Canis lupus familiaris: one gene and its partners. The protein of the gene in region 1 purifies or fractionates together with the protein of each later gene. This does not show direct contact. Links are inferred from orthologs where the notes say so. Each region holds a gene or a part of one and is shown in the gene's direction. Other genes may lie near its edges. The genes, in order: NCK1, GIT2 and WASL.

Region 1 (4,359 bases):
AAACTGGGGGAAATTTTTTTTTTTTTTCTTGAGAGGAAGAGAGTATGTGCACCCACATGTGTGTGGGGAGGGGCAGAGGAGAAAAGAGAATCTCAAGCAGGTTCCACACTCAATGCAGCGCCTGACTCGGGGCTCAATCTCACGACCATGATATCATGACCTGAGCTGAAATCGAGAGTCAGAAGATTGACTGACTGAGCCACCTAGGTGCACCTGAGAAAACATTTTTTAAATTGCATATTGGATGTGCTGTCATCCTTATAAAAGGAAATCCCTAAATTAAAGAAATTGAGATTTAAGTTTGTTCATAGATTGGTTGTTTGGAAGTTGGAATACACTTTTATTATTTACCTCAGAAACCTATTTTAATACTCACTGTTTTTGAAATGTATTTGCAATAAAAGATATTTTTTCTAATATTAGTAAAACTATGAAACCATAAAAATGGAATAATAGTTATGTAGGCTCTTTTGATTACTGTTTAGAATATTAGAATTTGGTCCTATTCATTTAACTGGTCTTTATTTTTCCTTTTAAAAGGATACCACTACTTTTCCAGTTTTCAGATCATTAGTATTGGCTTTGTTTCTGTGTATGTAGTTCTATAAATGTGAATGTGTGATTGTAGAAAAGATTTAAAGTCAGAAGAAAACTTATCTGGTGTGTGTATGTGCACTTGCGTATAGCGTGTATATGTTTATAAAAGGGAGGGAAGAAAAGAGAGGTAATTGAACTGCTTGATATGAAGTTCAGGAAATGAGGCCTGTACATAACCCCTCAGGAAGAGCAGGATCAATGATAGGGAACAGTGGTGGGATTTGTTTTCTGTTAGATGCCTGACTTGATCTATCTTTCTAGGACAAGCAGTGAGCAAGAAGCATTAGGAAATGAGTGACCTTAGAGCAGGTGATAAGAGTAACCATAGGTATAGGATGTTTCCAAGAAGCCCACTATTTGAAACTTTGTCAGTAACTATATAAAACTTTTAGACTGTTCAGAAAAGTGTTTAGGTTAAAAAAAACAACAAAAAGTAAGAAAGTAGCTTGGTTACAAAACACTGTTTTCTTGGTGGGTAATTGAGCATGGATATTAGCCAACATGCACCATCATTTTTAGCAGTAGGATTTTTTTTTTTAAGATTTTATTTATTCATGAGAAACAGAGAATGGCAGACATTGGCAGAAGGAGAAACAGGCTCCCTGCGGGGAGCCCAATGCAGGACTCAGTCCTGAGACCCCAGGATCAGGCCCTGAGCTGAAGGGATGCTCAACCACTGAGCCACCCAAGCATCCCTAGAATTTTTAAAGTAAAGATTTCAAACAGGATATTTTGTTTGACATGAACAATGTTTTTTAAACATTTGAATTTGTTACCAGTATTTAAATATTGGGAAATTTACTATAAAAAGTCAGGTGACAGACTTCCTTTTAAAATTGGAAGACCTGGGCAGCCCCGGGGTGCAGCGGTTTAGCGCCGCCTGCAGCACGGGGTGTGATCCTGGAGACCCGGGATCCAGTCCCGTGTCAGGCTTCCTGCATGGAGCCTGCTTCTCCCTCTGCCTGTGTCTCTACTATCTCTCTCCCCCCCCCTCCCTCCCTCCCCCTGAATGAATGAATGAATGAATGAATAAATAAATCTTTTTTTTAAATAAATAAATAAAAATAAAATTGGAAGGCCTGCCAACCTTGCCTGTATTTCTACAAGACAACAATCACCACTAAGTGGCCACTTTCTTTAAATTGGCCATGCACTGTTCCTTCTCTCTGTCCACCCTGTCATTTGTTTATATGTCTTTTGACCCTTGTAGGCATTTGAGTTTATGACCTCTCATTAGTGTCTATTGTCTTTAAGAATTCAGCCGAATATCTGAGCTAGTCTATGAGATAGCTACTGTTAGCTCACATTAACTCATGTTTTCTCATGTGTTTCTCCAGTTGTCTGAAGGAGAGAAGATAGCTCTTGTGCTTCAGATGTTAAACTAAAGGATTTGCCATGGGTGTTAGAGCATATTATTTAAGAGACTTTGGAGTCTGGCTGCTTGGGTTTGCATCCTGGCTGTCTTGTTAACTACATGGATGATTTTGAGCAACTTAGCTTTTCTTGGCCTTGATTTTGTCATCTCTAAAAAGGGTTGGTTAGAGGTGTAAAGGAGATAATCTATGTAAATAGCATAGTGCCTAGTACTTAGCTAAGATTTGAGCACTTTATTATTATTAGTGTAATATAAAAATGCTAATAGATATCTTTCAAAATGTTTACCCTATGTATTTTTTTCTCTTTTAGCCAAATGATTTCTCTGTATCACTAAAAGCACAAGGGAAAAACAAGCATTTTAAAGTCCAACTAAAAGAGACTGTCTACTGCATTGGGCAGCGTAAATTCAGCACCATGGAAGAACTTGTAGAACATTACAAAAAGGCACCAATTTTTACAAGTGAACAAGGAGAAAAACTGTATCTTATCAAGCATTTGTCATGATAATGCTGACCAGAAGTGACTGCTATAAAGCTATAACTCATCATGTAATTGAAGACTGAGAAAATGTCAATCCAATCATATTTGATTGGAAATTGATTTCTGACTCTACATGAGAATTGAGTGTGATACATAAGTATTTTTATTATAACTCAGCCCATACATATATACTACATATGCAAAGCATCTGCATAAAGCAGTTCCTTATCCTTGGTCTTCTGTTTTATTGTTTCTTGTCTGTTTTTCTCTTTGCTTCTAATATTAAGGTTTTATATTTTCTAAAGATGATGCAGATCGAAAGTCTTTACATGGAAGAATTTATTGGTTTTTTTCTTTATTTCCTTGTAAGGGCACCATATTTAGGTCACTTCTGCAATGGTTTCTCTTCATATAAAATTATTATATCAGTATATGGCATATGCTAAAATAAATTTCTTGGACAATGTTCTTTTCTGTGACTAAATAGCAATAATAAATGGATAATTAGAAATTATTTTCAGGTATTTGTTGCAAGCCATTGTAAATATCAAGTATGTTGTGTCTGCCATTTTTAAAAAATATTCATTGTCTTCATTGTAAAGCAAAACAAATGGGACATAGGTTTGAAAACGTATCTTGTACACTTTTAATTTGCAACTGTTGGAAACAAAAATCTAAACTTCTAGGACTTTTTTGTGGGGTTGCTTCTTACCTGGTTATTTAAGAGAATAAAGCAGTCTCTGAGATATTTAGCTTTTTAAACTATAAATGGATGCCCTAGTGTTATGTTTTTTTTTTTCCCCTAGTGTTATTTTGACAAAGCATCTTGTATTGGGGCATGTTGTATCTGTGTCAGTGTGAAAAAAGCTGCAGCCAAATGTTGGGGAAGTAGGAGGCAGTGAGATACTTGTCTCCCCTCCCCAAACATGTCTATCAGTATTAGGTATAGTATTTCTGCTATTTTCTTTTCCTCCTTTCAGCTTTGAGTTTTGTTGACTGAGACACTAAAATTGATCATACCTGAGGAAAAGATGGGATGTGCCAAATGGTTAGAGAAGGTTATTTTTGAAATCTTACTTTTGGAGAGTTTCTATTGTTTTTGTTTACTAAACAGAAGCTTGGGTGTATGAATGAGAGGCTACTATAGAGTATTGAATCTACTTCTGCAGGTCACAGAAGAAAACAGCTGTATTTTGTGGTCTTAGCTATCCTCTCCGACATAATTTGTTCTGGAATTTAAATTTAAGCAAAATTACTTTCAGTATTAGGAAATCTTATGGTATTTTTAAAAATTTCCCCAGTGCGGCCTAAGCAAATGAATGTTTCTATTCTTTAATGTGTTATAGATAAGTATTTAATACACCAAAATTACTGATGTTAAAATTGAAATTGTCTAATTCCTGAGGTTTTTGGATTATTTTTTTTAATTATTTTAAGTAATTTTTATTCTTTAACTCTTAAAATCATTTGAAGACTTACATTGCCACTGGGTGGCAGCCCTGGCTTCTCCCACTAAGCAATAGGAGTCAGCAAATACAATTAAAGCATTGATGTACAATTTTTTATTTTCACCACATCTACTTTTAAAGCCTTTTAGTTCATATTTCATTATCTTTGTCAGTCTCTCTTTGTTTATTGAGATGATTATTAGTAGACAATTGTAATAGAAATAAAAGTCATGTGCTTACCTGTTTTTGCTGTAAAATCACTTGAATATAAGTTGAAGAAAATAGTTTCAAAGTGTTATAAATATGATTAGGTAGTAAACACCTTTTTATTTGATTTTAAACAGCTGATGATGCTTTCTTTTTCTCCATTTTTTGTTTTTCCCCCCAGTCTTCTTTTTAAAAAGATATTTCTTAAAAAAAAAAAAGAAGCAATTAATACTTTGTAATCACAATGTAA
Region 2 (4,259 bases), on another chromosome or scaffold:
TGTTTATAAATACTTTTATTTCTTCATAACACTTGGGGCCCACTAAAAGGAGTGCAGCTACTTTGGACCAGCCCCCACAAGGGCAGCACAGGAGGTGGTTACACCCCAATTGTGCGTTGAGCTCTCTGCTCTTAGGAATGCAGAACAAGGCCAGGCACAGGACCATCTCTTTTGCATGGTTGTACAGCACAAGTCAGTGGCTTCTCCAGTTTGACACTAATGCTCAGAGACTGTTAATGTAATCTGATTTAAGCTTAGGTGCTCAAACAAGAGGCAATCAGACCAAAAATCTCCATTCTGGGCTCTGGTCTGCCTGATGCCTCACCTATAGGATGGGATACAATGCTGCTTCCTCACAAGGCTGTAGGTCAGTTAAGAAAATTACAAAGAGAGAAGCTCTAAAAAGCAAGTATTCTGCAGTCCTGGCCTTTAGAATGACTAATTGATGTTTTGAGACTTCAGGTCTTAAACTCCTGCTGGAACTTATTTCAGTGTCATTCATTTTCTTCTCTAGTAGGGGATATGGGTCACTTCCTTTTCTTTTTACGGCCTAAAGAATGGGAAATGTTGCATCTGAACTGCAAGTAAGCAGCTTTCTTTCTTTCTTTTTTTTCTGGGTGGTAATCAGTCCTAATAAAGCAGAATTCATCAGAGCCAAATATCAGATGTTAGCATTTGTCCATCGCTTGCCTTGCCGGGATGATGACAGTATGACTGCCAAAGATCTTAGCAAGGTGGGTCACACTTTTTAAAATCCCTAAAACTGCTGGATCAAATGATATATTGTTTTGTTTGAAAAAAACTTAAAGAGGAAGAAAAGAAAAACAAAACAGAAACTTTCTGTACTCTAAATAATTAATAACAACCTTTTTTGCAGTTGGTTACATCTTTAATTTTAGTTCAAATGGCAGCCATTCTATGTTAGTGGAGGTACAAGGAGGTACAAGGAAAAATAAGTATGTATCTAGAAAATTATTTATGTTTTTCAGAAATGGTTTTGAAATTATATTTCTTGAGGCACCTGGGTGGCTCAGTTGGTTGAGCACCTACCTTCAATTCAGGATATGGCCCCCAGGATCCTCTGATTGAACCCCGCAGGGAACCTGCTTCTCCCTCTCCCGACTGCTCATGTTCTCTCTTTCACTATCTCTCTGTCTCTCAAATAAATAAATAAAATCTTTATCTCAAATAATTAAAATCTTTTTTAAAAAAGAGAGGGAAGGTGAGCACGAGCAGGTGGAGGGGCAGAGAGAGAGGGAGAGGGAGAAGCAGACTCCCCACTGAATTGATCCCAGGACCCTGGGATCATGACCTGAGCCGAAGACAGACGCTTAACCAACTGAGCCACCCAGACACCCCTAAAATTGTATCCCTAAAAGTTTTTCATTTAACTTTAAAATAGGAACCATCCCTTGAGTTTGTTTCTAGAAGGGACTAGAAAGTTCGAGGGACCTCTTTAGGTTTCTGGGTTGCATACTGAGTAGGATCTTCAGGAAGCAGGATGACTGAAAGCTGTAGTGCTTATGATTCTTTATTATACTTGTAAAATGAGTAGATGGTTTTCTTTATGTGGGCCTTTGCATGATTTTGAGAGATGCCATGAGAAACATGCATTTTTATTTTCAAAGCACTGCTTTTAGGAAATGTTCGCACAGAGCTTGGACACTTGCAATCAGAATTTTAAACTTTGCAAAAAAAAAAAAAGGAATTTTAAACTTTGCATAGAAAACATATATAACTGTTACTTCCGTTAATAAGCTTGGCATGGGGTTTTTACCACAACTTAAGAATATTAAATACATTAATTGTAAAAATAAGGTGTGGATATAGATGCTGGAGTAGACTTCTGCATTTTTATAATAAGGGTTATTGCATTTTAGACAATTCTAGGTTAGACTTGAAAAAAGCAGCTAATCTTCTGCATGTTTAAGAGCTTTTCTGCAGTGGTACAGAATTTGGTATACACCAGGCCTATTTCCCAGCCTGAAAGATTTTGTTAAAGTATTATATACAAGGCCAAGAATGTTGTTATGAAGAGGGTGTGCTATAAAGCAGAATCCAGTAGTTTACAGCATGGGGTACGCAGCCCTAAAGCCCTAGGTTAAATAACAACAACAAATAATAATGATTATAATAACAGCAGTTGTATTCTTTGAGTGTTTCCTGTATACCAGGCTCCATGCTGAGCATTTTGTTATATCATTGACTCCTTACAGTAATCCTTGAATAAGTGGCATTGTTTTCACCATTTTAGAGCTGAGAAAACTAAGGTTCAGATTGTTTAAAGAACTTCCACAAGGTCACACAACTTGAAGGGTATATGGTTTTAACTTCAGGTCTTTGAGACTTCAGAGCTGTGTTCACCTATCTTCTCATACCCCCTTTCACTTCAGGTCTGATTGTACCACTTAGATTGTGCATTTGGGCAAATCAGCCTTCCCATCCTTATTTCCTTATCAGTAAAATGGACCTGGCCCCACCTTAGAGCTCTGGAGTGGTTGTGACCAGCAAGGGAGAGGCTTACTGAGCTAAATAACTGATTATCACTAATATAATGTATATTAAAATGATCTGCCAGCTGCTATAGTATACCATTCTTTACACTTTTAACAAATACTTTTTTGATTTGTGTGTTTTTCAGCAACTTCATTCAAGCGTGAGAACAGGGAATCTTGAAACCTGTTTGAGGCTGTTATCTTTAGGAGCACAAGCCAACTTCTTTCACCCTGTGAGAAAAGCATGAATTGATTCAGATACTAAATTGAAACTAAGTGGGTTGTGTTTGTTGTAGCCTTTAGTTTTATTTAATTTGCTTGTTAATCTACTTTTTATTAATATTTCTCAGGAAAAAGGAAACACCCCACTCCACGTTGCCTCCAAAGCAGGGCAGATTTTACAGGCAGAATTATTGGCAGTATATGGAGCAGACCCAGGCACACAGGATTCTAGTGGAAAAACTCCTGTGGATTATGCAAGGTGAGAGACCTAGATTTCTTGTCACTGCATCTTTGGTTAGGGATTATTTATGTTGGGTATTATTCATTGTTGGTGGCTAAATTGTGTATGATTAACATTTAACCCCTTTAAGTTAAGGATATACATCTCCCATTATTTTACAGATGAAAGCATTTCAAATACATAAGAGCTCAGAGCCTGGCAGAGTTGGAGGAGATAGAACCATTAGCTTAGCTAATGTGCTTAGCTTCCAGTGTGCTTAGCTTCCAGTCTTTCAAATGACTTCTAATGCAATGGTATTTGAGCCATAGTCCAAAGCAAGTATCAAGAATTGCAAAACCCACTCCTCAGTTTCTTAATATGTTTAGTCATTGCTTGAACTTAAAAAACAGAGCTATATAGATAGGTAGGCGATTAAACAAGTAATAGTAAAATGTTAATTATAGGTTTTAGGTAGCAGATGTCTGGGTGCTTGCAATAAAATTCCTTAAGTTTCTTCTTGTTTTAAAAACTTTGTGAAATGCTGGAAAAATAAAAAAATCCATGTTAGCCTTGAATATCATTTAAATGGTAGAAGATGGCTCATCTTTCTTTTTCCAAATTAATTTTTTATCAACTGCAAAGCATTCTACTGTTCTGCAGAGGATAAAATGGGTGAAATGCCAAAATTGTGCCTTCCCAGAATTTATTATCTCATGGAGGAGATGATTCATAAATACATGAAAGAGTTAAAGGAGGCAAGATAATGTGGAATTCATTGCCAAAATGGATAACTGGTCTTAAAAGGCATATGTAGGGTTTCTTCGTTTTGACCTAAGTTAGTAAGAAACTTCTTTAGTTGGTCTTTAAAAAATGGGTTGGATTTGGGTGTGTGAAGGAGAAGCTAAGACATTCCAAGTGAAAGAGAAGGATTGAGTTTACGTTCAGGAGGGAGGGATGGACAGGGCATTTTCAGCACAGCAGAGGAGTTTACTGGATGGAGCAGAGTGTGTCTAGGAATAATAAGAACTTGGGTATTGAGGAATATAGTATTTCCTAGATCTGAGACTCCACTGACTATATGGGTCGTCATTATGTCACCTACCACTTAAGAACAACTTAGCTGATTAAATGATGATGTACCATCAATTGTAGTATACTTCCTGATTTCACAGCTATTTAAAAAGAATGAGGGAAAGAGATCCGTATCTCAGAAATCAAACGTGTGGTAGGTCAGAGGAATATTTTGTAGTGTCTTGAAAGGTGGGAAAAGAAAGTGGCAGAAACGAGACTTCAGCTTTTAAGAGGAAGAGAACCCTCAGTAC
Region 3 (4,259 bases), on another chromosome or scaffold:
ATTTCTTTTTCTCATTTACTGAGACTAATAAGTTGTTATTTTTAATGAAGTTGTGTTCTCTTTTTAAAATCACATCCCATGTCATCTTTTCCTAATTTAAAAAGTTGCTGAATTAAATTCCCTATTAATTTTCCCTGTCATTACTTCTTCCCATCCCATCCCATCCCATCCCACTCTCTCCCTGCCCAAAACACCTTGTAAGTAGATCTCTACATTTTTTAGAGAGAAAAATGTGTTCCATTCTAAGCATAGGCCATCCTTACCCTAAATAATCACTTTTTAAAAAAATTAGCTGCAGAGTAATATCCTAAAGGGCATAAGTCAGTAAATTATTAGCATATTATATATGTGATCTGAGACCATAATTTTATTTCATTTTTTAAGAAACCATTCTGTGGTTGAAATTTCTCTGTGTTTCTTTAAACTGTCTATATAAATCATTTATTCAGTGATGAAAATGACTAGCATAAGATCAGATTTACTTAAAGAGCTGACAGAAAGTGTATAGGTATTCACTTACATATATTTTGAATTCCATGTTCACAGTACCTAAACAGCACTGTGTCCAAGTCAGTGCTTTAGAAGACGTATTTATGGTAGTGTTGTGCTCCTACCGTGCTACCCATGCCATGCTTGGTATTGCCAGCTTCTTCAAGGGCGTCTTTCTGCCTATGGCTGCCGCACTCCTTTGATGGCCTTCTGCTGACATGAGGCCAACACCTAAATACTAATGAATGAGTCAGTATCTTATGGAGAATTACTTTGAATATTTTTAAAAGAAAAAGATCTGTAAGTCCAGAAAGACAAGTAGTAGTATTAGAAAAGTTGTAAAGACCAAAATAAAAAGTTTGCCCTAAGAAAATTCTTTTTCTTTTGAAAATGATTTAGAATTGAAACAACTGTATGATTTCATTTTTTTAATAAAATAATTTTTATTGGTGTTCAATTTACCAACATACAGAATAACACCCAGTGCTTATCCCGTCAAGTGTCCCCCTCAGTGCCTGTCACCCACTCACCCCCATCCCCCGCCCTCCTCCCCTTCCACCACCCCTAGTTCGTTTCCCAGAGTTAGGAGTCTTTATGTTCTGTCTCCCTTTCTGATATTTCCCACACATTTCTTCTCCCTTCCCTTATATTCCCTTTCACTATTATTTATATTTATATTTATTATTTATATTTATTATTCATTTTTAATTATACCAGTATTCTACCTTTATATAAGTAATATAATTCCAGAGACAAAATAAACAAAATAAGTATTTTGTATAAATTATTGCTCAGTTTAGTTAAAGTACACTTAGAGCAGTACTTCTGAAATTTTTTTTCCTGAATCTCTACAGAGTCCTGTATTCTCTCTTTTTAAATGAGAGTTAAGATCAGAGAATATTATTTACAGAAATTAGATTTTAATGAGACCCCTTGAGGTTGATATTTTTTTCCCCCTTGAATGTAGTTTATACTAGATAGAAGTACTTTAGTTAGGGATAGTTGGTTCAAGCCTTGTGAGGTAGGTACATTTTGAAAGCTACCTAACCTAACTGACCTCTTTGAAGAGAAGTTCTGTGCTATGAGAAGGAAAGTTTATTTTGAGTTAAAGCTTATATATACACATACACAGACACACACACACATATGTGTGTGTAATGTTACATATTAATATCATATGAGGTATGAATGTAAGTATATAAAGTTATAAAGCTTGTGAGTAAAGCTGAGTTTTCCTAGGAGAGCAGAAGTCTCTTCAGTTGCTCTTAGACATCTTAAGTGTCCTTCTCACCTAACAACTCCAGGAATCTGGGTATCATAGTTTTATAAAATGATATTCCTTGATAATAGTTTTAAAGTTTCATCAGCTAAGGCTTTGTGTACTAAAATGAAAATGAACAGAAATAATCCAGCTGTAAGGGCAAGTATTATTTAGGGAAAGGTTTGTTATTCTAAATTATAAAATATGTTGGTGGCTTTATACATTAAGGAGAATGAAATATACCTTGAATAATTATTTTAAGACAGCAATTTATTTCTTCTTAACTTAGTTAATCCTGTCATTTGCTTATTTGCTCTTTTTTTTTTTTTAATAGGAAGTGATTCTAAAAAAGTAAGACTTTGGAGACAAAAATTTTTTGCTAAGAATTTATTTTTAAATTTTGCTAACTTTTTTTCCCCAAGGTATCTGATGGCCAAGAATCTACACCACCAACACCTGCACCCACTTCAGGAATTGTGGGTGCATTAATGGAAGTAATGCAGAAAAGGAGCAAAGCCATTCATTCTTCAGGTATATTTTCATGTGTATATGTATATTTAATTTTAATATTTGAAGTTCTATTTTCTATTTATTGTTGTTGTTGTTGTTATAGTCTGTTAGCTTTTTCCCTGCTTTTGAGTAACACTGATGTGGATTTTAGGGCAAATTTTTAAAAGTTGTTGCCACTGTGACTAATCTATCTGAAGCCTAATGAGTTCCAGGACACCATAGCCATAACCATAAATTGGAAGAACGACTTAAGAAAAATGGCAATTTCATCTCCTATATCAGAAATACTAATAAAATGCCTGGCAAACTTCTAAACGAGGCTTGAGATTCTGGATTTCATTCCTGTGACATTCTTGTGACATGAGAAATTCAAGTTCCCATAATTTGTGAGAGTCAGGGCTGAGAAACTGGTTTTCTGGGATTTGCTAACGAATCTTAAAGTTTTTTGTGTCTTCTTTTTTGGGATTTCTTAAAAAGTTTATTTGAATAAACTAGTCCCTATTCTGAGGCCAGTATTAAGCATATGTGCACCACCATATAAGTGAATATTCCTTTCAAAAGAGAAAGCAGTGGGTCTTGCTGATGTAATACTTGAGGTTTACTAAAGAGCTTACCCAGCATGATGGACCAGAATTAGTTCTTTATTCATATTAATCTATTATTTACTTTCTGTGGACCTCAGTTTTCTTACATGTTGTATGGAGAGAATTCATGAATCATGATTGATATGAAGAATAAAATAATATGTAAGTAACCAGCAGATTACATAGCACATAGTAGGTGCTCAGTAAATGTCATTTTTCTTCTCTTTGTTTCTCTGTAAGGATGTGGATATCTAGGATCTGTTACCAATATTTGTTTTCCTTAAATAGACCTCTTTCTTCTCATACTATGTAATAAAGATAGAATAGGCTAGTTCATTCCACAAATATTTATCGTGGAATTAAAAAAACAAAAAACAAAAATCCTGGCCTTCATAGAGCATGCATTCCAGTGAGAGACAAACAGTAAAATTAAGTTAGAAAAATACATGGTAAGTGATGATTATGTACTGAGGACAAAAATTAAGCAGAAAAGGGAGATATAGGGACTTCTAAGATGTGTGAGGGAAGTTCATTTTGAAATAGGATGAGGCCTAATAACTGATGGGACATTTGCAAGAAGACCAGAAGGAGTTCAGGGAGTAAACCATGTAGAAAACATGTTCATTCAGGTGGAAAGAACAGCAAGTGCAAAGTCCCTAAGGTTTAGGAACATTAGTAAGGTCAGTATGGCTGAGTAAGGAAGGGAGGGAAAGAACAGTAAAGTAATGAAGTGTGAGAGGTAGTAGGAAGCCAGTAGTGAGGCTTTGGAGGCCATGAGTGTCATGGGAGGCCACTGAAAGGTCCTTAGCAGAAGAATGGCAACGAGCCAGGAAAGAGACAGTAGAGGTTTGAATCAGATTGGTAGCACCAGTGAGCAGGGGTTGGATGCTTGAAATATTTTGAATCTGGAGATCTTTGGGTTTGCTGATGGATTGGAAGTGAGGTTTGGAAAAAAGGAGTGAAGGATAACTCCCCAAGATTTTTGACATGAGCATGAAAGGAGTGAAGGTTTGAGAGGAAATATCAGGAGGTTGTTTTTTTTTTTTTTTTAATATTGAATTTGAGATACTTACTAAAAATTCAAATGTAGATGTTGTACAGGCATTTGGTTATGAGCCTGGAATCGAAGGGCAAGGTCTGGACTGTTAATATAAATTTACCTGCTGTTAAAATAGGTGAGGTATTTAAAGTTACAGAACTGGCTGGGATCATTAAAGAAGTGGATGTAAAAGGGGAAAGAAGGTGTAATAAGGTCTGAAGGCTGGAGAGTGTATTGTCTTAGAAGATACATGAAGTGTTGGAACGAGGATGGAGTGACGATCTGAGTCAAATGTGTGTGATCGGTCAAGATAATGAGAACAGGAAATTGAGCTTTAGCTTTAGCAACAGTAGGTCATTGGTGACCTGGAAAGACC

The links.
Region 2: the proteins of NCK1 (region 1) and GIT2 purify together in Homo sapiens (co-immunoprecipitation; 3 studies listed by BioGRID and IntAct, with this or other methods). This does not show direct contact. The link is inferred for Canis lupus familiaris from reciprocal best matches to the Homo sapiens genes NCK1 and GIT2.
Region 3: the proteins of NCK1 (region 1) and WASL purify together in Homo sapiens (co-immunoprecipitation; 4 studies listed by BioGRID and IntAct, with this or other methods). This does not show direct contact. The link is inferred for Canis lupus familiaris from reciprocal best matches to the Homo sapiens genes NCK1 and WASL.

What each region holds. Positions count from the first base shown.
Region 1 is NC_049244.1:33,892,447-33,896,805, forward strand, and holds the end of NCK1 (cytoplasmic protein NCK1), read left to right. Parts: intron 1-2,283; coding exon 2,284-2,478; 3' UTR 2,479-4,147; downstream 4,148-4,359. UniProt on the Homo sapiens protein: Adapter protein which associates with tyrosine-phosphorylated growth factor receptors, such as KDR and PDGFRB, or their cellular substrates. Maintains low levels of EIF2S1 phosphorylation by promoting its dephosphorylation by PP1.
Region 2 is NC_049247.1:17,528,712-17,532,970, forward strand, and holds part of GIT2 (ARF GTPase-activating protein GIT2), read left to right. Parts: intron 1-628; coding exon 629-734; intron 735-2,641; coding exon 2,642-2,728; intron 2,729-2,845; coding exon 2,846-2,976; intron 2,977-4,259. UniProt on the Homo sapiens protein: GTPase-activating protein for ADP ribosylation factor family members, including ARF1.
Region 3 is NC_049235.1:11,839,572-11,843,830, forward strand, and holds part of WASL (neural Wiskott-Aldrich syndrome protein), read left to right. Parts: intron 1-2,172; coding exon 2,173-2,281; intron 2,282-4,259. UniProt on the Homo sapiens protein: Regulates actin polymerization by stimulating the actin-nucleating activity of the Arp2/3 complex. Involved in various processes, such as mitosis and cytokinesis, via its role in the regulation of actin polymerization.